Nothobranchius furzeri: one gene and its partners. The protein of the gene in region 1 interacts with the protein of each later gene in a pairwise test. Links are inferred from orthologs where the notes say so. Each region holds a gene or a part of one and is shown in the gene's direction. Other genes may lie near its edges. The genes, in order: atpaf2, fibrinogen silencer-binding protein, rpia and trim23.

Region 1 (7,939 bases):
GAGGGGGCAATCGCGAGCATAAAAATTCAAAAGTCCGTAAAGTGCCTTTAAGAATCAGATGCTTTTTGCCACATCAGGAACTCATAAAAACACGAGTTGTTTTTTGTTAGATGCATAAAACCTCATTTTAAAAAGGACAAAATGCAGCAGCATAGACCCTTTTACTACCTACGTCATCAAAAGTTGCGCGTGCAGCCTGGCAACGAGAGTGAAGGCTTCCTCATTCACACTCGATACTAAAACAGCGTTTTAAACCCTTTGTTTTGAAGTTCTGAGCACATAAAAATGTCGGGTTGTTGCGTGTATGGATGCCAGAATAGCTTCTCTTCAAGCAGTGGACTGAAACTTTACAGAATTCCGAAGTTCTACATTTTTCCTGCTCAGGTCTTTCCATGCACATGCCTGAGATGTAACTGCAGCCTTTTCTGTTTTCCCCATCCTAACACAGAGCTCAACTTTGAATAAAATTGTTGCTGCATGGCTGCAGCATGACCCAAGTCTGGAACATCAAAATGACAGAATTAAACAAATTTATATGCTTTATTTCATGCTTCAAATTAACATTTCATTCTAATTCATCTGTATTTTCCCACTTCATATTAGTATAAACTGTATTTCTCTAAAATTAACACGATTGTACTCTGAGCACGCTAAAAAAAGAAACCTATGCTATACTCACCCTGCCATGCAGGTACAGTTGGCTGTGAAGACGTAGATCTCTGGTTTGTTTACTATGACCCAAGCCTCGTACATAGCAGTCTTGTGTCCTTGTCTTTGGCTAGGAAGGACTTCTGCCTTCAAGACGCAAAACTCAGAGTCTATGTCGTGATATTTTACTTTCTGTACGTGGCCACAGACAACATAGTTGTATGCATCTAACCATTTGTATGCCCGTAGCGTCTCACGTGTGTACTTACTGGGCCTCTCCACTAAAAACGTATATATATCGGGCCACTGGATATCTGGCCACGCACCTACATCTTCCACCCATTCCGTAATGCCACAGGGATCCGGGAGTCTGTTGTCATTCGTTAAAGTGAGTTTAATAATATAACATTCAAGATTTGCCGGTGATAACTCCGCAGCGTAGCTTGATAAAGCCTGAAACAACGCCATTCTCTGTTGCCAAGCTGCGCGCGCATTCTCGCTGACGTCATATGGTTTACGAACAGTAAAAGGGTCTATTAGGCGATTGAAAGAGCAGAACGATGAAAGTGCAAGACCCTAAACCATTGTGTCAGAAGATTGAATCCCTTTTGTGTTGATGCGTTACCATTCAGAACTCCGGTGGTAGTAGTAACCCTCAATTGTTGCTGTGGATTTCTGGAAGCAGATGTAGTAGAAACCAGCAAAGGAAGCGCCACTGATGTCTTTGATGGTGTGGTCTGGAACCAGAAACTGCTCCTGAAGGAGGAGAAGGAGAGGAGGAACGCCAGCAGCAGATAAGAATAACTTATTTAGGCATGGAACTTGGTCTGGTGACATCCAGGTAGCGTCTTACCTTCCACCTCATGAAAATATAATCAGAGTTCTTCAGATCCTTGTAGTCAAACTCGTCCGAGTTAAATATCTTTGCATACTGGTAAAAAGCCTGAAACTTACCCTAAATATAAAAAGAGTCAACTTCGCCATGATACTGTTTAGTCATGATGACTTTTACAGATTGGGAATAAAGTTGGACCTTACCCAGTGTTTACGATCTACATCCTCATCTGCATCCCACTTCCGAGTGAGAAACGGCCGCTTCCTGCTGATGATTTCTCCAGCAAAGAACGTGGTTAGTGTTGGATATTCCTAGAAGAACGGGCGAGTTGATTTCTGTTTTAGTTTGGGAATGCCAGAACATCACAGCCAGTATCAGCAAATCTGCCAGGTTCAGTTTCAATAAGAAATAAACATTCTGTCAGGGTTACAGTTGATCACCAAAGAGTTCATATTTAATTAGTCACAAAGACAAAACAAGAGCAGTCTGACCATGAATCCAGATGGACACAACAAGAACGGATCTTAGGAAATTCCTTAATTATCTGATGCTGATGTTGCTTCCATTACCTAAATTAAAGCTACTGATCTAAAGAGATGATAATCTTAAGAAACAGAGATTTCTGCAGAGGTAAAGTGTTAAAAACTAATTTATTCCGCCAGGAAAATATCCTGACTCTTCCACTCTTCTACGTGTAACCTTTACACTTATAAAAATATAGTTTTCTGTTAACAATTAATCTAGACAAACCTGATGCAGAGGTAAGACTCAAGAGAACTACATACAGACTAGAAGTGTTATGGCAATGATTTGCTCCATCAGGAAGCAGCCATCTAGCACTTGTTTATTTATCTGTATATTCTGCATCTCACTGATCTTTGCCATTTAAAGGATGCGAAACTGAAATAATACAGTTTTAATAGGTGAAGTTCTTCAGTCTCATTTCAAATACATGCATGGGCTAGAATTAGAAAATTGTGGATTAAACCGATGTAGGCCTTTTGAGAAATCAGAAATACAGTTTTCTTTCTAAAGGCAAGAAAATTCAGTATGAATCAAATTTAAGCAACAAAACACTTCGTGTCCCTGCTCACCTCTGTCAGCCCTTTTATCTTCAGGTAGCCACACAAGTAGGAATCTTCCATTGTGACATGCTTTAAGAAGAAAAAAAAAGATTTTCATCATCCAAGTCAGCAATAAACGTGCTTTAATCTACATTCGTATGGATCCCATGATTATGTTTCATAAACATGCTAAAACAGCCTGTTGGTCTTTGAAAATCATATCAAAAAGTCCACCTTTTCAGCAGCATTTAGTGAAAATTGACTAGAGACCAAGTACAACACTGATGATGGTCTGATTCAGGTAGGACAGAGTGTTCAGCTGTCAATCATCACACGGTCGGTTTGACACATCACATTAATGACTGTATACACGCTTCAATTCCTACCTGCAGGACAACCTCCACATCGTAGGAGTTCCCTTTGCTTTTCTGGTGGCCCCGAAACTTAGAGCCGCTGTACAGCAGCGAAGTGACGACGCCGGGCTGCTGAGTGTTTATAGGGGGTGGCGGGATAAGTGAGGCCGAGGATGTGAAGGCCGCTGCGGGTGAGTCGCTGATGTATCCAGCAGGGACGGGCATGGCTCCCACTTCGCTGGCTGAGCACCAACCACGGTCAAAACACTGTGTTCGCCTCTTCGAACAGCTAAATGTTTACTGAATACGCTCACCGATATTCAAATTTCACTTAATTCCAATGTAGCACAGTTTACCAAGCTGCTCGAGAAGTAAGTGGACTTGCTGTGCTGTAGCCAGGAGCATTCACCTCTCTGATTGGTCGACTGAGTTCGCCGTACGAAGATTCTAAACGCTTATTGGCTGAACGTGCAGAAGGATTTACGTGACTATTTGGTTGTAGTTTTTCCCCCTTTTGTAATGCAGCGCAAAGGGACTAAGAGGCTCCTAAAAAAACTACATTTCCCACTAAAGTAAACAGTTTACGACACTGTCAACCAACTCGCAAAGAAGGTCAGCCAGCGTGCTTGAAACGCCGGAGCTTGAGACGAGAACAAATGCTAAAACTGCAAACAGTCTGTAAATGATAGATGTAAATGTCATTCCGTTTACGATGTTGCGCTATTTTAAGTGAGAAACGGTGGGAAAAAGCTTTGCGATTTGTTTCTGTTTTATTATTAGCCTTACGCCAAAGTCGCTGAGCCATGTTTAGAAGTCTTATTAGACTCAAGAGTCCATTTGGAAGTGTTATTTCTCTTTACAACGTGTGCCCGAGGCATCAACACTCCAGTTGTACGCGGAAGTATTCCACCGCCACATCAGGTTAGACGGAAAATATTAGTAAATCCGTTTAGCTGACGATTTCATTAACCCTGTTTTCTTTTGCGATGTTGTGCTGTGTACCAGAGAGGAAGAAGTTTTATCAAGATGTAAGCATCTCCCAAGGTGAAGGTAAGAGGAAATGTTCCATTCCTGTGTTTACATCATTCTGTCTTATGGTTGTGCTAAATATTAATAGCAATAATAATCTGTACAGGTGGTCTCTACGAGATAAACCTTGACAGAAGGAAACTGAAAACTCCAGGTGGGAACCTGTTCGTAGTGCCTAATGAGGCCCTGGCCGTCGCTGTGGCAACAGAGTGGGATGCTCAGAAGGATACGCTCAAGTTCTACACTATGCATCTGGTATTTGGCTATGCACACATAAAGCTGTCAGCCAGCTGCCCTTTCTCTATTACGTGTGTGCGTGTGTGTGCGGGAGTTTGCATCTGCTTGGGACGGGATTGAGGATGGGAGGACGGAGATACAAAGGGGATCTCTTATGTTAATCTGTGTGGGAGGGGTGGGAAACTGGCTGCTGGGTTGTTTTTAATATTGTAAAGTGCTTTGAGCAGCATTTGTATGGAAAGCGCTTCATAAATACATTTTGATTGATTGATTGATTGAGAAAATAAATTTTAAATACAACGAGTGACTTCACCTCTGTAATAAGGGTACATTCCAGGAAATGCGTTGTCCAGCTGAGTGTGAGGTGTCCATTTATGGATTATATACAGTATGCATGCTTATAGCTATGTCCTGTCAGTTACTGAATCATGGATCTGATGTTCTTGCTAAACACTTCTTGCAGACGACTCTGTGCAACACAGCTCTGGACAATCCAACTCAACGCAACAAGGACCAGATGATCACTGCTGCTCTGAAGTATTTGGAAACAGACACCGTTTGGTAAACTTGTTATTTTTATATCTATATCAGATAAAACATTTGTTTATATAACTGAAACAACGGCAGGGTTATACAGCCCAAAAATAAAATCTCTGATTTTATTTTTTAAATTTGATTTACGATTCTCTCTCCCCCTCAATTATTAAGAATAGCAATAAGTACAAATGGAAGGCAACTTAAAGCCAATTTTGTTTTGTATTTAATCACAAGCAAGAGAAATGTTACCCTTATTTCTGAGATGAATAATGAATAAATGATCACCCTCTTGGAATAAAAGTGCCAAGCTCCACATCCGTCGCAGCAAACCCAAACCAGTTCCATACAAGGGATGATTTAATTCCTCTCGTAGGAACAAACTTCCCACTCTCACCGGTGGCCATGGAGTCACTTGCTGTTGCACATCCGTGTACGTGCTGTGACGTTGTTGTCGCGGTTATGTGAAACTAATGCTACGGAAGCTCCGGGGGGCCAAAAAGGCGCTATTACATAAAAATTTGATTTGCTTTCTTTAATCGCCAGCAACAACAAATTCGGCCTGGGTGATGATTTGATTATCGCCCAGGCCTAACTGAAACTAAACCAGGAAAACTAAGCATCCAGTAAGGATCAAAGGTCATTATACCAATATTTATACATCACTGCTTTTAACACAAGACAGTTGAGCTCAGATGAATGGCAGAGTAGATTTTCATAATCCGTCAAAGGTGAATGCACACAGGCCAGTTGAGCAAGTGGACACCTGATTATTTCTATTGTAGTAAATGCAAAATGCATTTTTCAATTAGTGATTCCATTTATTAAAGAATTAAATCTTTCCAAACCAATTTGACCCTTGGAGCCAGCAGCTGTCATCAAGCACATGTGGCTTTCACATCTCTGTGAAAGATTTATGTCCCGCTGCTCGTTACAGAAACTGAAATCAGCCACATTGGAGGGTTTTCCAGCATGAATTACCTGTTTAAGGTCAAAGGTCAGACATTCTTCTTCAGGATGTTTTGCTAAGGAAGCAGCCTCAGACCATCACACTACCACCACCCTGTCTGACTGCAGGGACGATGTCTTTTTCCTGAAATGCTGTCAGTTTTACCCCAGGTGTTAAATAGCCTTCATAAAACCAGGTGCAAGAAAGTTCAGATCTAAATGAATTAGGAAAAGACACGTTGTCATTTAGATATTTTAGTAGTTGTCATTGATGGTGGCTGTTTGCAGATTAGTTTTAAGTTTCGTACTATTTGTTTTGTTTTGTGTAGTTACAGAGTCGATGAGCCTCCAGGTTTGGTCGAGCTCCAGAAGAATGAGTGGGACCCTGTGCTGCACTGGATTGAAAACAGGTGACAGACAGCATTTTGTTGTGATCAGAGCTGATCTGCTTGTGTTAAAGCCATCCAAACGCTCCCGGCCAAGATGCTGCACTAAATGGTTATCTTTCATGACCGCATGGCAGGTACGATGTCACTGTTGGATCCTCGTCCAGCATTTTGGGTCCTGAGATTCCAGAAGCAACCAAAGACACATTCAGGCAACACTTGAGCTCCTACAACCTCTGGTCCATGACAGGTACGAAGTCCAGATGTTTTTTTTTTTTAAAGGGATCGTGATTTATTTATTTTTGTGGTGACTTTGAGCTTCACTTTTTGTCTGGTTGCTTTCGAGCAGGACTGGAGTTTGTGATCACTCAGCTGAAATCTGTAATTCTGTCGCTGGGGATGATCGACAGACATCTGAGTGTGGAGGAAGCTGTGCTGCTTTCCAGACTGGAGGAGGAGTACCAGGTAGGAATTACCAAAAACATCAGCTTCTTCATTTTGCTGCGGGGTGGGGTGGGTTTTGGTCGTATGAACTTGAGTCTCATTAACTTAGTGCCCAAAGAACCGTTGAAGCAGGGTTCTTCTTGCTAAAACATTCAAGCTTTCTTTTTTCTCGTTTTGTGTCTTTGACAGATTCGGCGCTGGGGAAATGTGGAGTGGGCCCATGACTACGACATGTATGAGCTGAGGGCACGGACGGCCGCCGGAGCTCTTTTTGTTCAGCTCTCATCTGAGAGTTCAACCATCAAACACAAGCTCATGCAAGACTGATGACGATTCAGATTACCAGTTAGCTTAAAGCAACAATCATGTTCCACGACCTGCAGCAGATCTAACATGAAACCAACGTGATGTTGTAGAGGTCCCCCTTCCTCTGTTGCTGGATGGTGTTTGTATGTGGCAGCTGTGTCTCTAGTTGGTCATCAATCACTTGTGACATTTGCTGGACCCAAACACACATTTGAAGATGGTGCTTTTGTCTTCTTCATTATAAAAACAGTGCTTGTTCTTATAAAATCTGTGTGAGAAATGCTCTCTCAGATTAAAACAAACATTCTGGAGTAGGATTATACTTCTGTAAGAACACATTCAACATGTTTGTGTCTGTTCCTTCTGTTTTTGCTTTTTCCATTGTGATATAAAGCAACATTATGTGTGCCAATGATGGTTATTGTGAAAAAAACAGAAACAATGGTTGTCTTGCATTTCTGAATAATTTTCTACAATAAATGTAGACATCCCTGTTCAATTTAATTATGGATCAGATTTCAGGTTTTAGGTTTCATTTATGGCACTTATTGCTTTTAGTTTTTTGTAATTTAGTTTTTTTCCCCCTTGTGACTCATTTTAATGTATTTTGTGTGCAGCTCTTTGGGGCAATGGCTGTTGCCCTCTAAATGTGCTATAGTATCAATAAAATTTAACTTGACTTGGATCTGGATCCATTTTGTCTTCATTTACTACAAATATTCAGAATACATCAGCTTGACTTTTGAGTTGTAAGAAAAAATGTAAACGTGATTTTAGATCCAGCACCTTTGTAGTTTTGTGGGATTTTAAAAAAGTTTTAAGGTTTTACTAATTATTTTTAGGGTTAAACATGGTCTGACCATATCATCCAAGTGATCTCAGAATCTACTCAAGATTTTAGTTTCAGCCAGTTTCTCTTCAAAGGTCCAGCAAAGGCACAAATGTGTGGCCCGCACCACAAACTGGAAAAAAAGAACTGCTTTGCATGGATAAAATACTCGGTGTTTACGACTCAGACGTTCCTTTTGATTCACACAGAGGACTTTAAATTTGTGTACTTTGCTGAGACTTTTAGAATTTTTAGTTTGTTTCCTAAAAATGCAAAAGACAATCAACATTCATCTACTTTGTTAACTTGATTTTTAATTTTCAGTT
Region 2 (7,994 bases), on another chromosome or scaffold:
CTGGAGGGGGCGCTCCAGCACGTCTCGACACACACAGCACAGCAGACCCTCATTCACAAAACCCACAAACCTCTCCAGATCAAAGCCCATCCTGCAGCTTCACAGATTGTAGGTTTTACAACGCTTAACTGAAGATTCATGAGTTTTCCTAAGACAGCATTCCTACCTGAAGGGTTCATCCAACTCCTTTCCTTTTGTGTTTTTAACCGCACTTGTTCCTCTGCAAGAATTCTCTTTTATCTTTCTGCTGCTGTTCTCCTTTCTTCATCCTCACTCTTCACACCATCCGAGTGAGCAGATGCTCTCCTGTAAAGCCCTTCCCCAACACAGAGTCCCCATGGGAGAGGTTTCCTTGACAACAAGGAGTCAGGATACAGCCAGGCAGCTGTCAGATGGGAACAGATCAGGTGGACAGAATTACTAAAAGAAAAGGAAACAGTCATTCAGACGAAAACCCTCAAACTGCAGTAGATTGACTCAGTTTCTGCCTGAGAACTCAGGCTGTGAAAGTGACATAGCCTTTACAGATCATCTCTCTTTAATGACCAGTCGTGTTTGAGGATTCTCCCTTTTAGTTTGTCTCTGGATGTGGGATTACCGAGGATTACACTCTCTCCCTGCCTGATTGGATTAAAGAGCAATGAGCCTCTGTCAGGACAAAACACGCAAGGACACGAATCAAATGTTGCACTTTTAAGTGTTTAAAGTAATGCAGTAAGTAAAAGGAGCAAAACTTTTTTTTAGAAAAGTTCTCAATTAAACAGGAACGCTTTGTTTCATGATGATCACACAAATATCATCCCACTATTTTCATTAAAATAAGTGTTTTTGAATATGTAGAGAAGAAGTGAGATTGATTTATAATAGTAAAAGTTAATCATGTAAAGTATGTTTGTACATTAAACGCAATCAGCTATAGTGAGGTATAAATCAAACATACCCTAGTGGTTTTGGCCACGCCTTCCGACGGATTCAACCAATCAGATTCTGCAAACCGTTCAGCGGGAGAAACAGAATCGGACAGATACATTTGTAAGAATTTCGATGACATTTTTCATCTTAAACGTCTTTATGACACTTTAAACTCGTGTTGGTATGTATAACACAACTTGTAACACCAGAAACACACCCGAGTTCAGACCGTTTTAAGGCTGTTAGCCGCGGTTTGCTAATAACGTGTAGTTTGTTAACCCGTCAGAGCTAGCTTAATGTGCGTTCGTAGCTTCAGTGGATTGAGAAGACTTGAGTGATAAAAGCAGAAACCCTAACGTGTAACTAAATCTGTTTAAGGTCGTGTTTGCTCTGTTTCACCACGTTACGGTAGAAAACGCACTTATCGGACAAATATCTATTGTTTGAAAATGCAAAACAAATGTGTGGTTGGGCCAGATTATCAACCAGAAAATAAAAGTTCTGGCATCTGACAAGCGAACGTTCATCAGATACGAAACCCATGAGTAATTAGAGTTGCATATTTGTACTGGCCCAACAGAAATTGATTAGAATTGACCTGTTTTAAATGAATGAAAAACATGAATGAATGAATATTTTTCTGCCGCTGGAAAATATCCATGAATTTCATCACATCTCTGTTGATACATGAATTTTTCTCTCTAGGTTGAATAACAATTTTGAGTTGCCACCTGAAGAATGCGCCGATCAGCAGCTCCCAGTCAGCTTTTGGGCAATGCAACGAAAAAACCTCGCTTTGCACCACCAGGAGCTACTGGTTTGTTTCTTAGACCAGAATCCAAACCTTCGGCCTCAAAACTCAGTCTAGACAACGCACCCGATAAGGCAAGTTTCTACCAGCATTTCAATTCAAAAGTACTTTATTAATCCCAGAGGGAAATTGATTGCTGTAGTAATAATCAAGTCATCAAAGAGTTGTTGTATATTACAATGGCTGTTGGCAGGAAGGATCTCCAGTAGCGGTCAGTGTTGCAGCCAAACTGAAGAACCCTCTGACTGAAGACACTCTTCCGTTGTCGGACAGTCTTGTGAAGAGAATGCTCAGGGTTGTCCATCATTTTCTTGATTCTCTGGAGAATCCTTCTTTGCGTTATCTCCTCCAGTGGTTCAGAAACTGCCGAAACTCTGGCTGAGTCCTTGAAAGGGCTTGGAGTTCCTCCATCTTGTTGGCCAGTGATCTCACATCGCCCGTTATGATCGATGGAAGCGATGGTTTGAATTTCCTCTTTCTCTGTCTCCATTTTGCTCCCGCTCTGCACCCACGCTTCTTGCGTTTTAGCTCATTTGGGATTTGTGGCTTCAGTTGAGGTATTATTTCAGCCTGTCCAATGTTAATTAGCTGCTCCCGATTGTAAACAAATTTGTTGCCATGGTTACGCATCATAACAAATGCTCAAAAAGTGAAAAAAAGCTAAAAAATGGCAGTAAAAATCCTCCAAGCGTCACAGCACCAGAAACAGAAAAGTAAAATGTCCAAAAAATACAGTTTTTCTTGAGAAACTAGAAGAAAAAATGCCCAAGAAAAGGCAAAACTTACATAAAGTCAACAGAGCTACTCCAACATGTAGCCACCCAGAGCAGCGCAGTTCCGAGAAAAAAAAAATCAATTTGTATTATAGTCTGATCTGTATGCTTATCAATTTATCATGTTTTCACATAATTCCACATCTCTAATTCTCCCTTTTCTTTTAGATCCAGAAAAGTCTTTTGACACCAGTAGAGAACAAAACATCACTTGATGTCAGGCCCAAACCCAGCCACACTTCTCCAGCTTTGTCCAAGGCGCTGGCTCGAGTTCTCGGTGCAACAGAGATTAAAGAAAATGAAGCAGAAACAAATGATCCAAGCTCTCGATCAGAAGGTTGTACAGAAAACAAAACTCTATCAGGTGAGATGACTTATAATTCACAACTTTGGTAGTGTTACTCGTACAGATACTTTAGTAATAGAAAGGTGGAAAACATTAATGGGGAAAAGTTCATTTAAGGTAATTTTCTTACTTGCTCGTCAATCTGAGTACATCTGCTACATCAACATTAACTAAATGTGAACTTTATAATGTTTTTGCTGCATGTTTGTCGTCTGCATCGGGTGCAAAATCAGTTGAAACATCACTGAATCTGTATGATTTTGGTTTGAATCGTGTATTTGCTTTTATTCATTTATACTAAACATGAGATTTGTTTGTTACACGTATTCAAATCACTGGGCCGCACACCTTTGAATACAACCTTTTTTATCCACACAAACAAATCTGCATAATTCAGAAACTTCTGGAAAATTGCTGCTCATTTCTGTTACCGTTTCTCTTCTGTACATACCAGTTATCTGGATCATAAAATGTCTATTTTTAGCTTGTATAACTTCTTTACACTTAAGGTGTAAAGCCTATTAAAAACTGCTCTCTAGAATAAGCATAAATGCACATTAACCACAGGAATGGACGTTAGTGAGGTACCATCCACAGGCCAACTAGTGGAAGTGCACTGCATATTTCTTGAACAAAAAAGTCAGATAAACCATCTACGTCTGGATTATTTAATCACGTGTCACCTTTCAGCACCCAGCTCTGAACGTGTACTTCTGTTAGTTTAATTTTATCTTTTTTTAATGTGGTATTTAAAGAGCAAGTCGCCCCCTACCAGAGTATTACTTCCTGTTTGAAAAAATGCAACAAATGCTGTTGCCTAGCAGACTGAGTCGGAGCCGCTAACAAATACACACACACACAGGCTCACAACAACATTGTGACATCATATGGTACCAGCTAACATCATAGGGTACCTCTTGGCCAATAGCGATGGCAGATTTAAATTCAAATGCAGTGCAGAGTTTTTACCTGACAACGGCACAACACTGACAGTTTTAGGCAGAACATTAACATTTTAACTAAAATGCACTAAAGTGCAAAACTATTGACTACACGTGTCTGCAGCACGATTAGACACACATTTATATAGTTTATCAGAAAAAAAGCAGATTTGGGGGTGACTTGCTCTTTAACACAAAGTGAGATGAATTTTGGGTTATGTAGCATCTTAAACAACAGGGTATCCGCGGGTCCTTAAAAAGTCTTAAATTTGCCTTTCCAAATTTAAGGCCTTGAAAATCCTTAAAAATGACAAATAATCCTTAAATCCAGTTTCCAAAGGTCTTAAATTACCAAAGACCCAATAAACAAGATTATTTTATTTCTATAAAAATTTTCATGAATTTCTAGTTGGTGTTCAGCATTTTTTGTGTACGATGTTGGCGTAAGCGGAACCGTACACATTCAGCTGGTTGTGAAAGGGGGCTGTTTTTAGATGAGCACGTTAGCTGGTTAAGCTAGTGGGAGCTTGCGCCATGGGGAAGTGCAAATGTAATGGTAACTGGATGGCTAATCCCACGTTCGCGACGTGGTTAGCACCGGTTCCAGGCAATAGCTGGAAATTATAGCTTAAATTTAATTTTAAAAATAGCTTAAATTTGGTCAAAGTGGCCTTAAAAAAGGTCTTAAAAAGTCTTAAATTTGGCTCCCTTAAACCTGCAGATACCCTGAAACAAGAAGCGGTGATGTTGATAAATAGCAAGCAGAAAAATAAGAGTACGAAAAAGAGTGACACGCTGAGGGTGTGCTGCCTGATGACTCAAAACAAAAACAAAGTATGTGCAGAAACCCAATGATACATCATTACTAATACAATACATGGCAACCAAAAGTGCAATATAAGCCAATACAGGTGTAAATAAAGTACACAACGATTAGGGACCCCACTGCTCCTTATTGTTTAATTGTAATGATTAGTATTTGATGCTTTTTCTATGCTTCAACGTTCTGAGTCTAAGCTCTGCACAATAATTTTTATGTACCCAGACCAAGTGTGTGGGTGTAAAAATGGCTTCTGATCTTAATCTGAGGGACACTTCATCTGAATTTCAGGAGATTAATGAGAAAACGGAACCGTTGAAGTTATTTATCGACCTTTGCACCGACGTCACCTAATCACGTGGGTCCACCATGGTGGACGGCAAAAGCATGTAAACAGTGAGCGACACGATTACTAAACAAAGGGAAAAGTAGAGCCTGAAATTGTTTTTGTGATCAAAACAAAAACAAAACTCCTCCAGCATTCCTTCCACTAGTTCATGCCCAGTTCAGTTAACAGAAGAAGTAGCGCATCTAGCGGTATGCTAGCTAGCTTACCAACGTTAGCTTACGTTCTCTGCAGCTGTTCACCGATGTAAACATGCTGCTGACTTTGCCTACATTCACCCCTCTGGATTGATCACTGCTGTTCATCTCCGTCCTCAGTCTCCATCAAAGTTATTAAAAAGAAAAAACGAATTGAGTTTACATCCTTGTCTGTTAGTGCAGCCGACCACGCAGCAAGCTAAAACCATTTTACTGTCAAATCAACTAAATAAAAGCAATAAAAGGCTCCAAACTGGCTTGTTTTGACTAGCTTCACTGGAGTTTCTATGGATGTAAACGGTCTGCCAGGTGAACACACAATACAAATGTTTGAAGCATTAAAATAAAAACGTGTTTGGCTATAATCTGAAATGTACTTAAATATGTTTGAGTGATTTAGAGTGAGAAGTAATGAGAGCAATTTATATTTTAAAGAAAAAAGTATTTGTTTTTCTTCATGTGGTGATTCAATGGATCATCTCTCACTAGCTTCTGCCAAAATAACATTAAATATAGGAAAGTCTGCGGCCTGAAGACCCGGTTCCGGATCTAAATCTAGTACATCGGAGGAGTGTGAGACAGACGTGGTCTGGTTCTCCCACACGGATCCTCACTCTGGGATTTGTCCCAGCCTCAGCAGCACATGTTCGGGAGATTTCTGGCGACAGACGCCGTTTTGCTCTTGCGCGGCGCGTCTGTTTACTGCACGAATGATGCGTTCAGGGTCCAGACGAAGGACTGCAGCATGTGGGCTGTGGATGAATGCGGGCTCAGGCGGGCTGATGAAAACTCGCGTCGGTTCGGCTCGTGTATCCTCACGTGACCTGAGCACGCGCTGTGTTGATATTAGGTCGACGCAGACTTGAGATTTAATTTGACTGGCTTCCATAGTCCTCTACGAGCATGCGCAGTGCGCCCTGCCCCCTCCCCCGCTCATTTAGTTAAGCCAGCACTATTTCACACAGTCGCCCTGCTTCAGGTGAATGAATCCGAGCGGACCCGATGCGGGCTCCCGTGCAGCTGTACAGTTTCCTCCTGGTTGTTGGTGAAAACACATCTCAGCTTCTGTCGTGTCCGTTCACAGTCAGCAGCAGACATGGTGCTGCTGCTGTGCTTGGTTTGGTTTAGAGAGACCGAGCTGAAAGTAGGTCGGGCTGGACTTAAGCGGCTTAGCTACGTCAGCCTAAGCTGAGAGGAATTCATCCAAAGCCCTCCTCGGTAGGCGGGGGCCTAAACGAGGCTGGCCTAGTTAAGCCTGATTCTTATTGTAAGCAGCACTGCCAGTTTTTCTTGGTTCAGCGTAGCTGTGAGAGGACCCAGGACCAGAGTTTGTAGCCACAGTTCATAGCCAGTGATGGATCTGGACAAGGAGAGAGCCATTTAGTCATAAATTAGAGTTAGGCCTTTGTGCCATCGTGGATCAAAAGAGAGCAGAGGGGATAAAACAGAAAGAAAAGGCAGCTGAGCAAAGTGAGGAGCCACTGAGAGAGGGTCCTAGGCCTGACTGGGACTGTGGTGGTCCACTATGCTATAGGATGGCGTCCAGCGCGGTGTTTCTGTCCAGCATGGTGGGCAAAGCTCGCTCTTCCAACTTCACCCTCTCTGAGAAGCTGGACCTGTTGAAGTTGGTTCGCCCTCACATCCGCATCCTGGAGGAGCACACCAACAAACACGCCGTCATCGTGGACAAGAACAAGTGCTGGGACACCATCGCAGAGCAGTACAACGCTTTGGGAGGGGACAGGCCCCACAGGACCGCTCAGGGCCTCAGGACTCTCTACAAGAGGCTGAAGGAGTCAGCCAAACAGGAAGTGATGCAGAGGAGACACGCCCAGCCAGAGTACAGAGTGAGCATCTCAGAGCCAACCAGGAGGATTATGGAGATGATCCCTCACCTGTTTCACCATGTGCCCATACACGAGAAGGACCAGGTTCTACGCAGGTACAGTGTTAGACTTGTCAGCACGCACACACGCACACACACACACACACACACACACACACACACACACACACACACACACACACACACTTGGCTCTGAAATGTGCATCTCAGCATCACTGATAACAGAAAAATTAATGGCGTTCTACAAGTTTTCTTTATTCTTATTCACAGTTTGCTTTTCTAACTTAGTTTTGATCTCGATCAGATCAAATAAACCTAAGTCACTGTTTAGTATCACCAATTAATCTTCAGTTTTAACGGTTTACTCCAAAAATACACGCGTAACAAGGCAGGTAGAGGGTCTTCGTATAGATGAGGCTGTGACTGACAGCAGATCTAAGAATTTCACCGTTAACGAGGCCAGACAACTATGAAATAGTAAATTCAATTCAAGTTTATTTATAAAGCGCCAAATCACGACAAGAGTCGTCTCAAGGCACTTCACATAATAAACATTCCAATTCAGGTCAGTTCATTAAGCCAATCAGAAATAATGTTTCCTATATAAGGAACCCAGCAAATTGCATCAAGCATATACAGCAATCCTCATACTAAGCAAGCATAAGGCGACAGTGGAGAGGAAAACTCCCTTTTAACAGGAAGAAACCTCCAGAGAATCCTGGCTCAGTATAAGCAGCCATCCTCCACGACTCACTGGGGATCGAGAAGACAGAGCAGACACACACACACACACACACACACACACACACACGCATGCACGCACACACACGCGCACGCATGCACGCAGACAAACAGACAGACAGACAGACAGACAGAGACAAGTAAAGTGTCTATAGTTATATTGTGATTTCTTAGTAAATATTCTATTAGGTGAGAGATAAACTTTATTGTATTTATCCTAGTGGATCTATAATTAAACGGGTAAACTAGCAGTAGCACATC
Region 3 (7,840 bases), on another chromosome or scaffold:
TTCATTTTTAATGCTGTGCTTTTTGCCCTGGCTCAGCTGGACATTGCTATTGATGGAGCAGACGAAGTGGACTCTGAGCTCACACTGATAAAAGGTGGTGGGTGAGTATGCAGTAAAAACACACACACACACACACACACACACCCCTCAGGCCCTGCTGAATGATGTTTCTCACTAAATGTTCCTCTGTTTGACAGCGGCTGTTTGACTCAGGAGAAGATCGTTGCTGGCTGTGCGAAACGATTTGTTGTTGTTGCTGACTACAGGTCTGTATTGACTGGTTTACCTTTAGAGTTTAAAGAGCAAGTCACCCCCAAGACTCGGCATCTGTGGCCTCGATCCACTCATGAGCCATTGGTCTGGAACGATGAGGCTCAGGGCTCCTCTCTTCCTCCAAAATTCTTCCTCCCTTTCCGTTCTTTCCTCTGGCGAAGGAGATGCAGATAAAACCTCCCATCACAATTGACTGCTCAGTGTTTCCCTTAGAAATTTTTGCAGTGCATGCCGGTTAGATTCGTGTCCGACTTGACGCCGACTTGCTCTGACGTCATGCATACGTAGGCAGCGATAACCTCGTGAGATCAAGGCGGCTGCAGATTTTGGAGCAAGGCGCTGCAGTTGCTCTCCACCGGCTGCACAACCTAGGGCATGGCGGGAAACGCCTGGCTCTCACCTGATCTAAGATCTGATTGGTTCCCATTTTGATCCAAACACCCTGTGGTAGAATGTGAAATGTTAGTTGGTCACATGTATTCTGTAAATCGTGTTACGTAGATGCTGACAACTATGTACGCCATACAGAGAAATGTGATTTTCCTTTACCACATTTCCTATAAACACTCTAAAAACCTGCAGCTGACAACCTTTACTTATTAATACAGTCATGTCTTCCTATGCACATGTCTACAGTATATGACATCCACAAGCACGTGAGGCTGTGGTTCAGTTGCTAACAGGCACCAGAATTTGACACTAGTATGAACTCTAGCGTGATATCTTCAGCCATCGTCGCCTGCATAAGGAAATGTGTCTGACTTAAACGCCGGCTTTCAGCCACTCCCCCTGCTGCGTCCGTCTGCTCTCGTCCGTTTTCCAGGTGAGGCGCTGCTCATCTCGGACAAAGCCAGTGCCTCCTTTTGGCTCAATGTTTCAAACAGGAAGTATGGGTGGAGTAAGACACTAGCAGGGTGGTGACTTAATCTTTAAGTTTTTGGATGGAGGGTTTGTTACCATCAAACTAAACAAGTCTGATTTGTGTTTTGGAACACTTTGTTGTCCTGTTTAACATTTGTGTTGATTTCATCTGTCAGGAAGGACTCTAAGGCTCTAGGCCAGCAGTGGAAGAAGGGAGTTCCCATTGAAGTTATTCCCATGGCCTATGTTCCCGTCTCCAGGATGATAGTTAGGCGCTTCGGAGGGGAGACTGTCCTAAGAATGGCTGTCAGTAAAGCAGTAAGGGACCGATTCACACACCTTCATTTTTTTGTCTTTCACGTTTTTTTCTTGACTGGAGAAGCAGAAGAATCTCCGGCCGCACAGTTTGATCAAGGTGTTGATCCTGGAATATCCAGGGGAGACCTACTCCAGCAGTTCTTCAGCACAGGTCCCACAGATTGTGTGTCGGCCACTAGTGATTTTCTTTCTCTGCTGTGTTTAAACAGACTAACATCTACAGGACCTGTCCTTCCACATTGTTGTATTTGTTGGGGTTAAATAATCTGCGGTAATCCTTCAGTGTCCTTTTTTAATTTGGTTAGGCAGTCAACTCATTACCCCTATTTCACACTGGAAGCATTAGCAGCTTGGAATGGCAGCGGATTGTCACGGCCTCAAATATAATTCATTATAGTCTAAAGTGGTGATGCCGACCAGCCGCGACGCGGGCATTTTCAGGTTTGTTCCAGAAGCGACATGCCACGCCGCTAAAGATGGGATCAGGTTCTTTACCACAAGTGGCTTCTGGGGCACATCAGTTTCTGCAGTTAGCATGGGGCAAGACAGGAAATCACACACGGTTTCAGTGTAAACCCCCCACCCCGGTATTTTCAAAATAAAAGACTATTACAGCAAAGTAATTTCATATCTATGTGGAGTACATCAATAATTGTGACGTAACGGCTTATTTACTCCCTGAATTGCTCCAGAAGTGCAGCAGTGTGTTTTTCATGGCTTTCGTTCTGCAGTGGAGAGGAACAACGTCATAAATGCTATCAAATGTCATTTCCTTCTTTTTGGCCAAATGGCGCATGGCATTAACAAAATGTGAACCATGAAGTATTGAAGGAATTTGTGATGTTGTGAGTCCAGTGAGGAGCACAGCGAGGAAGCCGTTCCGTGGCCAAGGCTCTCCCAGCGCGTGCTGGACCGCATTGAAGCTTGTGAGTAAAACGTTCCACGGCCATTCCGCGCTGCTGGAGTTTCCAGTGTGAAGTAGTGGTTAGGAACCCTCTGTAAAAGGAGCTGCCATGTTTGAAAAGACTATGCAGACCAAAGTGGTTGATGTTATTAAAGTCAGGTGGTGTGTTTGTGGATTTCAGGGTCCTGTCGTCACAGACAACAGCAACTTCATCCTGGACTGGAAGTTTGAGCATGGTCAGAACTGGAAGGAAGTCAACACTGCAATCAAAATGATTCCTGGTGAGGAACTTTTATACTGTTTACATCCCGCAGTGGTGTCCAGCCCTGGTCTTATCAAACTTGTTTTAGTTGTTTCTCTGCTCCAACACACCTGATTTTAACTCATTCACTGCCAATGACGACTAAAGCCGTCCTTTACATTTTTTGCTGTGTGGGCATCGGAACGAGCCCCCGCACCGTGAGAACAAACATCTCAGCTCTAAAGCCGATCTTCATCCTCATATGTCACACGTCACGTGACCAGGAAACAGAAACTCCACGTGTTAGGAGTAGGGTTGTCACGGTAACCGGTGTAGCGGTAAACCCCGGTAAAAAAGTTGACAATAATAATAACCGTCTTGTTTTTAAAAAACTACATTATCTCGGTGGATTACCGTGGCTGCGGTGTAGGCGCGGTGACCCTTACCAGCCACCGTATCATCTGCTGAAGTTGCCGGCGGCACATGCGCACTTTGTTGTTTACGACCAAAAGTTTCTTGAAGCTAAAGCTGAAATAATGGCCAAAGGAGGAGACGGCAGCGCTCAGGACATTTATTATCCCTCAGAGAAGACAAAGTGGGAAGTACGGGCATCTTTTGGATAATTGAAGAATGCCGAGAGACAGCTGATAGAAGACGGCTATCCTGTTTGCAGCACGTGCAGAAAAAGTGTCTGTGAAAGGCAGCAACGCTTCAAATCTCATGACACATCTGCGTGACCATCACCCACAACTCTACAGTCAACGCAAGGCAAGCTAACGTTAGCGCTTTAGCTAAAATGCGTGATCCGAGGATTTGGGTTGAGGGAGAATGCAACGAGTTGCTATATAAAGCAGCCGCAGCGCCGCTACCTGCATGTAAACCGTGTCGCGGACACCGCCATGTTGAAATGACGCTATGCATTACGGGGCTCCAGGGGCAGATAAGAGTTGGTCTCTCTCCGAGAATAATTATGAATTTAACAATGATTACTGCCTGATGACATTTTCCCACATCTGCAAAGCTCACTGGAAGGACACAAACCGAGGACAATATTTTCCTGATATAGGGTTTATTACTCAAGTAAGGGTAAAAAAGTATCTGATTAGAAGGCTACTTGAGTACTGAGTATCATCTGATCTAATACTTTTAAATGATGACATCAAACAGACACAAAATAAGAAGTTATGGGCAAATATTGGTATTTTAAAGACTACAGGGAAAAAAATGTAAACAAATAAACAACATAATTACAAAATAACACATTTTAGGCTAAATTTAGGCTAAATATATATTTTTTAAAAACAAGACGGTTATTATTGTCAACTTTTTTTTTTACCGGGGTTTACCGCTACACTGGTTACCGTGACAACCTTACCTGATCGGTCTGCTTTGATCTATTTTGAAAATTCCGATCAAAACCGATAGGGGCGCTATCGGCCGATTACGATCAAATGCCGATCCATCGGTGCATCCCTAAAACTGAGGACAATATTTCCTGACATACAGGGTTTATTTAATTGTGTGAAAATGTAACACGTTTTAAAAAAATACCGCGATAATACCGAAAACCGTGGTAATTTTGGTCACAATAACTGTGAGGTTACATTTTCACACCGTGACAACCCTAGTTAGATCGTTTTTGGGCCGCTGCTGTAAAGAAAAGTGAGGCGCAAACTGGAAAAGCTTCTGCCGATCACAATTGGTCAATTACAAAAACGGATTATGAAAGAACAGATATCGTTTGAAACGTGCAGATTCTCCCTGATGTAAGAGGCGAGTCTCCTCTTTGTTTTGGTAGTTTTTACGTCAACATTATCCTAGCGCGCAATGTTCTGTGCATCTTAAAATACAGTAAAAATGGTGAGAAACGCTGGCAGCGAAGGGCTTTACCGATCAGGAAATGGCTGGCAGTGAATGAGTTAATCAGTGGAATCAAGTGAATGTGAGCCGAAAAACCACTAAAACATGCTGGCTGGTGGGATGGGATAACTCTTGTTTCTGAGTTTTTGTGTAATGTGATAAAATAAAAATCCATGTTTACGTCAGGAGTTTGTGCGTTCTTTAGGTGTCGTAGAAACCGGGCTCTTCGTGAACATGGCTGAACGAGCATACTTTGGGATGGAAGATGGAAGTGTGCAGATTCGGGATGCTCCAGTCAACTGACCAGTTTGCCACACTCATGGGTAGTAGAGCTGCAACTAATGGGTTACCTGTTTAATAGATGACTCATCAGTAATTTTACATCCTGATGAGTCATCAGTTATTTAGGGGATTCCTGCTGTCTGTGGATCTACCTGTTTGCTCCACCTGCGCATGGCACCCTGAGTCTGCAGCATAAGATATTTCTACAAATTAATTCATGAGCAGTGAAACTGATGGATGTCCAGCCAACTGAACACCAGTTAGAGGTTTGCTCTGAAGGTTTTCACTGTAATTGCAAACATTTTGCTGAACCTAAATCTTACGGATCATACACTGACCAAAGCTACAGCCCTAGCTGTCGCTCCTTTTAATTGACCAAATCTGTTCCACGAGAGCCGTCGTCAGGAATTATTGCCTCAGAAAACACCAAAGCAAGAAGAAACATCGGAGCTGTTGACTTTTCCCGTCCATGCTTTTGATTTGATGAGTTTTAAGTGCCTGATGAGGAAAGTCGAGTCCTACTGCTGTAACAGAGAGCTTTGACTGGAGGGACGTATGATCGAAGTTCTTGTCTGGTGAAACAGTAGAATGAAATAAAAGCACGCCTTTTAAAAGCTCCCATTGATATTCTGTTTGTGTAATGAAGGACCAGTTTTCAGTTATTCGATCATTACAGTCCCGGTCACCTAAACCAGCATAAACTGGTGCAGCCTTGGAGAGTATCCTGGTTTGGTGTGACAGCGATAAACCAGAGGAAGCTTTCGGATAAGGAAACAACTGGAGGAAATGATGCCAAAACAAAAAGTGCAACACGAAACTTCAGGTCTTCCTTGAATCGTCTGCGAGTTTGAGGTGTTTTGCATGTATTTGTGTGTTTTCTCATGTGTTTTTTTTACCTCCACCTTTTAGCAGAAGTTGGGACCATGCCATTAGGTATAAGCTTATACCTGCCTTTATGTTACTATGGTGTTAGGTCACTGGGTGTCTAGAGCCACTTTACACTAAAGTTTCTGTTGTATAAACCAATGTCAGCTGCTGTTCCGAGCCTTAGATGTTTTTGTTCTACCATCTTTAACGTGTTCCTGTGGAATTGAACTAGTCAGTCATTAGGATCGAATTCTGAAGCCTCGGTGTTTGTTGGAGGAAAACAGACCTCAAATGTACTTGTACACCTTTCCCCTTTGTATGACTTCAGTGTTCAATGCCTGTAAAAGACTGCCCAGTGTTGTGCCATACTCATGCTTATAAAAGGATTGATGATTAAAGTGTCTGGCAGCAGTGTGTCCATGCAATCGAAAGGCCACATTTCCTGTGTCTGCGTTCGTCTCTCAAAAATGAGGTCTATTCGTGAAAACGTGGTTCAGGTCCATGCTCACCACGAGACAGCAGCGCCGTTACCTGGTAGGACTATAAACTCCTCATCAGTAACACGGGCACGTAAATGTAGGCTAGGAGCGTGGCTTCATAAACACGTTTCTTTGCTTGATTTGTGTCACAGTCGCTGCATTTTAGTGAAAGTGTAAAACTGAACTCGTAACCGGAAACAGGAACTGCACCGATTACTTCCACCGGGCCACGTTGTTGTTTTTCATGTCGACGGCTCTTGACAACTGCGTCTAAGCGACAGCTGAATTAACCAATCAGGTGCTCACATGAGGTCACTCGAAACTGATTTAGGCCAATAACATTACGTGATTTCATTATCTTTTCTGTCATTGGACGAACGACTAAACATCCGACCAATCTCAACAACCAAACAGATTTTGCCCCCGGGGACTTTTTACGTCACTTATCCAGTGCGCACGCGCACCTGTGACGAACAGGAGTTTAGCCAATGAAACGGAGTGTTTGGAGGCCGGTGTTTCCGGGTCCGCCTCTTTGAGTGACGGATATCTAACGCAATCATGTTGTGCTTAGTAAGCGAGGACGTGTAACTGACAGCGAAGTACGCAATGAGAAACGCGCGCATTAAAACGCAAGGCCCGTGCGGGTTTACGGTCCAATCCCGGTGTGGAAACGAGGCGGGATTTAGCGTTACTACGGAAAGTCTGGGTCTAGTATAAAGAGAACAACATGGTGTCCCAGAGGCTGTTTATGTTTACTTAAAGAGCTCGTTCAGCGGGGCGTCCAGCACGCGACACTTTTATAACCGTAACCTCGGCTCTTTTATACTTTCACCTTGTTTTTATACTAACTTTTACCAGGGCCGTGGCGTGTGCGTCTCCTCTTTCACTAATGTGCCAGTTCTACAAATGGAAAGGGGGCTTCACTTTGGAGTGAGCACTTCCCTGCTGCTCCTGCTCCTGCTGCTCAAAGCGCCCACCGGTTCCGGGACCTCACCCGGCTGGGTGTCGGGCTCGGCAAAACATGGTCCGAGAGTCATGGAGCGGGGCTTGGAGAGCCTAGGCACCCCCCCGGTCCCCGGTGCAGACGTCACCGTGGAGGACGACGAGAACGGGTCGACAGGTGAGGCCGACGACCCGTACGAAGACGGTAACGGAAGCGTCCGCTCCACAAGGTAAACACGGTGCTAGCTGCTGACATCCATTATCGGACACGCTCGTTTCCAACTTCAGGTGACTTGGAAATTACTAAAAGTTGACGGCTTTTACTTTGATGTGTTTCACCGACTTTCAAACCTGCGACGTGAAGGCTGACGTGACACCTGTGTTGTCATGGAAATGCCCAATAACGTGAACGCCATGAGCAGAAAACAGGAAGGTGCTGTCTGTGTCCGATAATCGAGTCACGTTAAGTTTCCCGGAGCTGCGGTTGTGGCTGCTGTGAAAAGATGGATTTTAGAGGTCATTTATGAACGTGAGACACCTCAGCGCGAGCAGGAAGTTCTGGTTCAACAGAACAGAACAAAAGCAGGACGTCCCAGGTGAGCTGGGACAGAGGTTTGTTTGTTTCTGGTGTGCAGTAAACACCAAAGCTGTCTGGTGTCAACAGCAGAGGTGCTGCCAGCTGGAGCAGGAATCACGTGATCTAATGGCTCCAGCAGATCTAAACATCTCAGGCTGTCAGAGGGAACGTCCAGGTGAACGGTCCACTCAGGTTGCAGCAGCTGCTCAGAGAGAGAAGCGTTTTCCTCGGCAACA
Region 4 (8,117 bases), on another chromosome or scaffold:
GCTGCAGGAGGCTTAGGGCTTTTTCCAGAGACCACAGAGCTGTCTTCTTCAGGATAAAGGAGGCACAGAAAAAATACACAAAAATTGAAAAGGAAATAGAAAAGAAATTAGAAATAATCATGATGTGCACGGAGAGAAGACCAGCTTCTGTTTGGTCTTCACTAATGAGGTGTGGTGAAGAAGTTAAGTGGAGGGATGTGAACTTTTTACAGGTTTGAAAAAAACTGAAAAGTAAAGAAAAGTCAGTGAGACAAGAAAAACCTCTATTGTTCTGACTACCTAGCACCACTCCAATGAACAAAATGTGAATGAGTTTTCGAAGTTAAAATATCATTTTAGGTGCAGACAAACATGACACTGTAGGAAGCTGGACAGCTCTAAGATCAGATCAGATGTTGGTTAGATGGAATGATTGTTTTGCAAAAAGCTACAGACAACGTCATAAACACACTAAATACTGGTTCATTTCGAAGTTGTGTGCAGAAACAACAAGGGTCCATTCTTTTCAGAAGCAATGTGCTTTATAATCTGATCAAGTTGTTTCTCAGTGGTAAAATGTTTAGGTAGTTTAGAAACACCCATAAACAAGCACTGGACTCAAACTGAAGCAAGAAAACAGCTAAAATCCTAAGAAACAAAAACTCTCTCTTTATTTGAAAAGTTCTAAAGGTTTCTTCTCCTTATAAGCAAAACAAAGTTTTCCTTTTTGTATGTGCTGACACAACATACAAGATCAAAACGACAGTAAAAAAGACAAATGGATTAATCACGAGGATAAAAGAAAGAGGAGTTTTTATCAGCCCAAGTGTATGACATTTACATTAATAAACCTCATCGGGGAAGTCCAAAGTGTGGCCCGCTGCTCGTTTGAAACCCTCGACTGCGGTTCAAGAAGGCTAACATTTTATTGGCGTAGAGACATTTTTGTAAAAAAAAAATTTGATTAGCATTAGGGTTGTCATGGTAACCGGTGTAGCGGTAATTCCCGGTAAAAAAGTTGACAATAATAATAACCGTCTTGTTTTTTTAAAAATCTATTATCTCGGTGGGTTACCGTGGCTGCGGTGTAGGCGCGGTGACCCTTACCAGCCACCGTATCATCTGCTGAAGTTGCCGGCGGCACATGCGCACTTTGTTGTTTACAACCAAAACTTTCTTGAAGCTGAAGCTGAAATAACGGCCAAAGGAGGAGACGGCAGCGCTCATGACATTTATTATCCCTCAAAGAAGACAAAGTGGGAAGTACGGGCATCTTTTGGATGTTTGAAGAATGCCGAGGGACAGTTGATAGAAGACGGCTATCCTGTTTGCAGCACGTGCAGAAAAAGTGTCTGTGAAAGGCAGCAATGCTTCAAATCTCATGACACATCTGCATGACCATCACCCACAACTCTACAGTCAACGCAAGGCAAGCTAACGTTAGCGTTTTAGCTAAAATACGTGATCCGAGGATTTGGGTTGAGGGAGAATGCAACGAGTCGCTATATGAAGCAGCCGCAGCGCCGCTACCTGCATATAAACCGTGTCACGGACACCCCCATGTTGAAATGACGCTATGCATTACGGGGCTCCCAGGGGCAGATAAGAGTTGGTCTCTCTCTGACAATAATTATGAATTTAACAATGATTACTGCCTGATGACATTTTCCCACATCTGCAAAGCTCACTGGAAGAACACAAACCGAGGACGATATTTTCCTGATATAGGGTTTATTACTCAAGTAAGGGTAAAAAAGTATCTGATTAGAAGGCTACTTGAGTACTGAGTATCATCTGATCTAATATTTTTAAAATGATGACATCAAACAGACAAAAAATAATAAGTTATGGGCAAATATTGGTATTTTAAAGACTAAAGGGGAAAAATGTAAACAAATAAACAACATAATTACAAAATAACATATTTTAGGCAAAATTTAGACACAAACTGAGGACAATATTTCCTGACATACAGGGTTTATTTAGTTGTGTGGAAATGTAACACATTTAAAAAAATACCGCGATAATACCGAAAACCGTGGTAATTTTGGTCACAATAACCGTGAGGTTAAATTTTCACACCGTGACAACCCTAATTAGCATGAGGAAGAACAAAAACACATTAAAATAGTTTTGAATGGAAATGTTAAACCACAACAAATTGAATTAGTTTTTTTAATTAACCATGACTTGTTTTCTTCTGTTATTTTAATGTAATCATAAATGGGATTAGAAACCCTAACTGGCTTTTGCTAAATTACACACTTCTAAGTACCATTGACTAACATAGCAGGCATTAGTGATGGTCGGGTGACTCATATGATGAAAATAATAATAATAATTTATACTTTTTTATCTTTCTGTTGGACATTCTCTGCATTTGACCCGTACCTGAGGCTTAGTGGGCTGAGATCGAACGGCTCACCTTTTGATCTACCCCCATTCCGTCATGGCCGCCCATATCTGCTTCTTGTTGCTGACTAGTTATTTATTGCGTATCTTCTGTTTTGACAAGTGAACCGATCAGCAGTGACAAAAATAAATATTTTATTACTGTAACTATTTTATCAAGTTGAAATGGGTACACTAGAAACTACTGATCACAAAACCATTTCACCCAATATAAATTGATGGTGGCTCAGGGGTTAGTTCACCCGGTAACTGGTGGGTCATCATCAGTGTGAATGGGTGAATTATTGACTGCAGTGTAACGCACTTTTGGAGTCCCTGACTTAGAAAAGCACAGTACAAGTGCGATTTTTAACTGCATCAGCAAGAGAATCCCTCCATGCTGGAGTAACACTTGAAGTTCAAAACTAAAGCCCAGTTTTTACACACTGACCTTTGACCTCGGTGGGTGCTGGGGTGGTGTTTGTTGTGTGGGAGACAACTGAAGCCTCTATGCAGCTGTCGGCTACTTTCTGTCCTGCACACATTGCCTTCAGGGTCTGGAAGACCGCTTGGGGAGCCACGTTCATTTTCAGGAGGTCCACTATGATCCTACAGGAGGGCAGAAACGAATCCTTTACTCATTCGCCGCGTGAAGAACCACATTTCTACCGGTCTCGGTTCACTCACTTAAAGACTTCTTGATCCACAGTGATGCCTGCAGCCTGAGTCAGTTCAAACAGCTCACTTTCTTCAGCACTCAGGATTTTCTTCTTCTTTATGGCATATTTCTGCACGTTTGCTGTGACCACCAGAGCAGGGAAGTCAGGAGCAGATGGCCCCGTCTGCTGTGTTGGCTGAGACATATCAAGTCCACCTGAGTGGTGAGAAAATGGCATTTATGCGCGAACATAAAACGTTAGCCGCGCAGAATAAACATATGGCGAAATTCAACCGCTCACTGAAAGGTAAGTAAACATAAAAACAGGTTATAAACAACAAAAAATACGTTTTTAATCAAACATGTGTTTATACCGTTAAAGCCGCAGCTTTTAGCGTGTAGAATCCCGCTTATATCCACAACTCCTCTCTGTAAACACGGCGCGTAGAAAATGCGTCATCATCACGGAACGTTCACGCAGCATGATGGGACATGTAGTTAGAAGCCTGTGGTTTGTTCTCGATAAATGTATTGAACGAGTAAATAAACATTAAAGTTGAGCCAGTTAAGCAAAGCATTAGATTTATATAACAAATAAAAAAAGCTGAAGCTGCTTGGTGGTCGTTTCAACCACGGACTTATATGGTTTAAAGGGTAAAAAGTAAAGACAATTAAAAGAATGAAATTACAGAGTCCTCTGACTCTGAAAGGCGCTATACAAATGCGGGTCATTTATCGGTTGTTTATCACTATGCGATTTATTTAGTGAACGTGGGTTACAAAATTACTACAAAAAGTATACCAAAATTGACACCGCGGAAGTTGTTGAGGGATTATCCTCTCACGCATGCTCAGTTCTCTCGCTCGCCGTCGTCGAAGAATGGCCGCCGCTGCAGCAGGAATAAACAAGCAGGGCGCAGGAGCGACGATGGAGACCTGTCTCCGGCACGGGAGGGGAGCCAGTGGAAGCACCGTGAAGGTCGTAAACATGTCACAAATTTCCGCAGCTAGGTCGTTATTGCTGTGAACATATTATTTGGTTAGCTTTGGTGATAAATGTCCGCTGGTTCAGACTTGCTTGATGTATTTCTAGTTGGAAGCTAAGGCTGCTGCGTTGGCGTTGGTCGCAGTGGGTGCCAAATACGGATTTTGACAGTGTAATAGCTGTGCAAACGCGTTTCATCATGTTATTGTAGCCGTTTATGCATTCCAGAAGACTCGTTTGTCATTAAGAAGCGTTTGCTGCGAGCTAGCACCAGCTCGAAAACCGCCGGTTGGCATTAGCACAAGTTTCTGATCGCTGCAGCCTTATAAACAAAAACAAGCAATCAGCTAGTCAGTGCATTATAAGGGTGTACAGTAGCAGCTGTTGGAAGAATTAATTTTAGTTTACAGAATAAAATGTGGGCAAAGCGTCTCGTGATGTTTACCTTGGGAGTCACTATGTCAAAGTGACTGCAACACCCTGGGATTTTTTTATCTCATCACTATTTTTCAAGTACCTCTGCTTTTCTGCATCAAGTCAAACCTAAAGTTACAAATTAAAATTCCTTACAAGTGTGCGTGATCCTGAGTGTGGAAGTCACCTTGCAGCAGATACAGACAGACAGACACATAGACAGGCAGTGTTCAAGCTGTGCTGTCACTTGCAGGTGCTGGAGTGTGGTGTGTGTGAGGACGTCTTCTCCCTCCAAGGTGACAAGGTCCCCCGTCTTCTGCTCTGTGGCCACACCGTGTGCCACGACTGTCTCACCCGGTTGCCCCTCCACGGCAGAGCGGTCCGCTGCCCCTTTGACCGACAGGTCACCGAGCTGGGTGAGTGAAGGACATAACATAATTTGGCCTTCGAAGAAGGATGCAGATTTGCAACATTTGGTAGAATTTTATTGAACTGAACAAATTCTGAGGATGCCTGGGAAAATGACAAAAATATTTCTTCAATCACTAAAAACAAACAACTATTCATCTCAGAAGTAACATAACATCCAAGTGGTATTCCTGACTGAAATTATCTTGGAGTGGCAAAGCACAGAGAATACACAGTCATCATAAGATGCAGGGTGTACTTTACTGGTTCTTGGACGGCAGATGCAAATATGCTGTTAGGCTGCAGAGAAAAGAGCTCACAATCGAAAACAGTCTAATGTAGGGAAATAAAACATGAACACATTTCAGATCCAGACCTTCCTTCGTAGTAGGTTTGATTTGACTTTGTCCTAAAACTTTGTGTAGTCTTGCAGTATTTGTTTACATCAACATCTCCGTTATTTAAAGTCATGCATTGGTGCTGACACTGGAAAGTGAAACTCAATTCAGTTTATTTATAAAGCGTCAAATAACGACAAGTCGTCTTGGTGCACTTCACAAAGTAAAACATAGGGATGTCCCATTCCGATATCGGAGGTCATTCCATATCAGCCCAAAAACACTGTATCGGATTATATCGGATGGCATCAAAAGTCTCCTATAAAAGCGGTTCGTTAAGGTTCACATTTTTGCAACTGTAGCTGCCAGATGAGCAGCTGATGGCAATGACTCTTAATTGGCTCACAGATTTTATATAAGCCACACCCTTCCAGAGAAAATGGCTTGGGTTAAGTTGTTTGTAGAGAAGATAACACTTTTGAAGTGTTGAAATTATGTCTTTGGTCTAAATTCACCTCAGCTGCACAGTGCCGACTGCATCCCCACGTAAGTTTTGCTGTATTGACGCTTTTGTTTGGGTTATTACTTCGACACTCTATAGTCATTGTTTGTTATTCTTGTCCATCCCCACTCAAATCTACAGATAAAGCAGCTTTAAGGACTTATTGGTTTGTTTAGCATCCTTGGCCAGTGGAGCAAGGTAAATGTGAGAATATAATTCATTTCTGTTATGACATCGAAGTTGTGTTCACCTTTTATTTATGCTTTGTATATCTCTAAACAGTTTTCACAGTGCAACTCATGGAGTGAAGTCCAAGGCATTGGACCAGAGAAACGAATAAAAGTTTATGCACCCGTCGAGGCTCTCCGTTCTTTTCTTCATGGTGCCAGGGGCAGCTACAGCAACCAATGGTTACAAAAGAAATTTTTCATACTTATTGTTATTGGCTGTTGTTCTCCAGTTGAGTAATATCAGTTGATCAAGCCTTTCATACATTCCACATTAGGAAACGGGTAAAAGTATGATTTGTGCTGATATCGTATCAGATTGATATCTGTAACGGTCAACACTGAAGGCTGCAACATCGATATCGTATCGGAAGTGAAAAAGTCGTATTGGGACATCGCTAAAAATATCCAATTGACGTGCATGAGTTTTAGACCAATAATGAAATTCAGCAAGACAATAATTTTGTCCATTTAGCGTCTCTCCATGTGTGTGGAAATCATGACTGTACGGTGCTGGAAAATCTTGAAAACTCTGAAGGTGGTTGAATTGAATCTGGACAAAGGTGTAAATGTTCTCTGTTGCACTTGTAGATTTTTCCTTCAGTACCTTCTAAGCAGAGCTCCACTCGATTCAGCCCAGTTTCACTAGTAACGGGTACCAGGTCGCTGCTCCTTTATTTGTCTGCTTCAAAGTGGTTCCAAGTGTACCAAACTGGGACGAAAAACGCAACGTCAGAGGACTGCCAGTCACTGATTGGCTGGGGGAGGAAGCATTGGATGCTCTGGAGTGTTTCACCTTCCTGCTCACAGAGTGAAGGACAAAGGGAGTTTAACCCTTTTCCCAACATTGCTACTCAGCCAAAAGCGGCTCGGAACAGCCAGGGTTAGCACAGCTCCCCTCACTGTAGTTGGTTTTCTCCGCCAACTCTGTGATGAAAAGTGGGTGCACTCCTCATACCAGGTCAGTAGGTATGGGGAGAAAAAAGTCTCAAAAGATTTGTGTGTGTGTGTGTGTGTGTGTGTGTGTGTGTGTGTGTGTGTGTGTGTGTGTGTGTGTGTGTGTGTGTGTGTGTGTGTGTGTGTGTGTGTGTGTGTGTGTGTGTGTGTGTGTGTGTGTGTGTGTGTGTGTGTGTGTGTGTGTGTGTGGACCAGTATATCAGGCCGATATCTACCATTTTTTTATACATCAGCATCAGACAATATTTGTCCTTAGTAAAGCTAATTTAACGTCAGGCACATCCTTGGGCAGCCCAGTGTCGTGGCAGAATTTAATTTAATTTAAATGTATTTTTACATTGACTAATAGCATCTGGATAATAATGCTCTAAATCACATGTGTCCGACACAAGGCCGGCGGGCGAGAGATTCAAGTGTCTTAAAATAGGTCTATGCCGCTTCAAAGCGCACATCAACTATAAACTACATTTCCCATAATGCATGGCGATTGTGTTCCCAGTGCAATGACTCACCACTAGGTTGCAGTGTATCCACTTCCATGTTTAATTAATGCAACAAGTGAAAATAACTCCACACATTATCCCAAAATGTCCAGGAAGAGTGAGATTGATGCAGGAGGAAGGGTGTTTCAACAAAGATGGAACATGTTGATGCTTCAAGGAGAAAAACTCAGCGCTGAGTTTAATCCGTAATTAGTCGACTTTGAAGCTCAGAAATGGATTTTAACAGCTCAGTAATGTTTGCTGCTGACAATAGAAAGCGCACCGACCAACTTCCAGACCGAGATGACTTAACTCCAGTTTAGCGACACGCTCAAGTCACTATGACTCTGTGGCTGCTGCAGCTTTTATCCCCCTCCCCGACACAATTGCGTGGTCCAGGTGCTCTCCATGTCCAGCAGCACAAACCTGTGTGAGCACCTGTTTCTCACTGATGAACTCCTTCCTCAGCTCAGAGCCCAACCCCACAGATGCAGGTCAGGCTGGAACAGGTGAGCATGACAGGAAATCGGAGTGGAGAAAACTGGGATTGAATTGTTTTGGTTTTATTAACCTTTTCTGTTCCGAAGCATGAAAGTTAATAGGTGAGATATTGCATTTTCATTTAAGAGAATTACTATTCTTATTTATGTTGTTGGCCTGTGAAAATAAATTAAACCTACTTTAAAACAGGAAAGATTACAGATAGAAGAATAGAAATAGAAATAAAATAGAAAATCCCTTTATTGTCCCTCAGTGGGGAAAGCTTGGTGTCACAG

Evidence for each region.
Region 2: the proteins of atpaf2 (region 1) and fibrinogen silencer-binding protein interact in binary tests that used the Homo sapiens proteins (3 or more experiments, as listed by UniProt). The two-hybrid records come from large-scale screens. The link is inferred for Nothobranchius furzeri from reciprocal best matches to the Homo sapiens genes ATPAF2 and FSBP.
Region 3: the proteins of atpaf2 (region 1) and rpia interact in binary tests that used the Homo sapiens proteins (3 or more experiments, as listed by UniProt). The two-hybrid records come from large-scale screens. The link is inferred for Nothobranchius furzeri from reciprocal best matches to the Homo sapiens genes ATPAF2 and RPIA.
Region 4: the proteins of atpaf2 (region 1) and trim23 interact in binary tests that used the Homo sapiens proteins (3 or more experiments, as listed by UniProt). The two-hybrid records come from large-scale screens. The link is inferred for Nothobranchius furzeri from reciprocal best matches to the Homo sapiens genes ATPAF2 and TRIM23.

Annotation. Positions count from the first base shown.
Region 1 is NC_091756.1:29,841,641-29,849,579, reverse strand, and holds atpaf2 (ATP synthase mitochondrial F1 complex assembly factor 2), read left to right. Parts: upstream 1-3,490; 5' UTR 3,491-3,703; coding exon 3,704-3,821; intron 3,822-3,905; coding exon 3,906-3,950; intron 3,951-4,035; coding exon 4,036-4,184; intron 4,185-4,629; coding exon 4,630-4,727; intron 4,728-5,977; coding exon 5,978-6,058; intron 6,059-6,171; coding exon 6,172-6,284; intron 6,285-6,383; coding exon 6,384-6,499; intron 6,500-6,667; coding exon 6,668-6,805; 3' UTR 6,806-7,469; downstream 7,470-7,939. Other genes in the region: glucose-induced degradation protein 4 homolog, read right to left, coding at 1,274-1,404, 1,502-1,603, 1,687-1,794, 2,578-2,637, 2,934-3,125. UniProt on the Homo sapiens protein: Plays a role in the assembly of the F1 component of the mitochondrial ATP synthase (ATPase).
Region 2 is NC_091745.1:79,028,095-79,036,088, reverse strand, and holds the start of fibrinogen silencer-binding protein, read left to right. Parts: upstream 1-2,889; 5' UTR 2,890-6,681; coding exon 6,682-7,088; intron 7,089-7,994. Other genes in the region: rnf41l (RING finger protein 151), read right to left, coding at 1-90. UniProt on the Homo sapiens protein: Transcriptional repressor that down-regulates the expression of the fibrinogen gamma chain. Represses transcription of GSK3B gene promoter via its interaction with APBA1.
Region 3 is NC_091758.1:5,544,343-5,552,182, reverse strand, and holds the end of rpia (ribose-5-phosphate isomerase), read left to right. Parts: intron 1-36; coding exon 37-101; intron 102-197; coding exon 198-266; intron 267-1,310; coding exon 1,311-1,452; intron 1,453-2,537; coding exon 2,538-2,637; intron 2,638-4,662; coding exon 4,663-4,760; 3' UTR 4,761-4,976; downstream 4,977-7,840. Other genes in the region: eif2ak3 (eukaryotic translation initiation factor 2-alpha kinase 3), read left to right, coding at 6,992-7,257. UniProt on the Homo sapiens protein: Catalyzes the reversible conversion of ribose-5-phosphate to ribulose 5-phosphate and participates in the first step of the non-oxidative branch of the pentose phosphate pathway.
Region 4 is NC_091746.1:63,286,112-63,294,228, reverse strand, and holds the start of trim23 (E3 ubiquitin-protein ligase TRIM23), read left to right. Parts: upstream 1-3,860; 5' UTR 3,861-3,875; coding exon 3,876-4,007; intron 4,008-4,680; coding exon 4,681-4,843; intron 4,844-8,117. Other genes in the region: mzt2b (mitotic-spindle organizing protein 2), read right to left, coding at 1-46, 2,822-2,979, 3,058-3,233.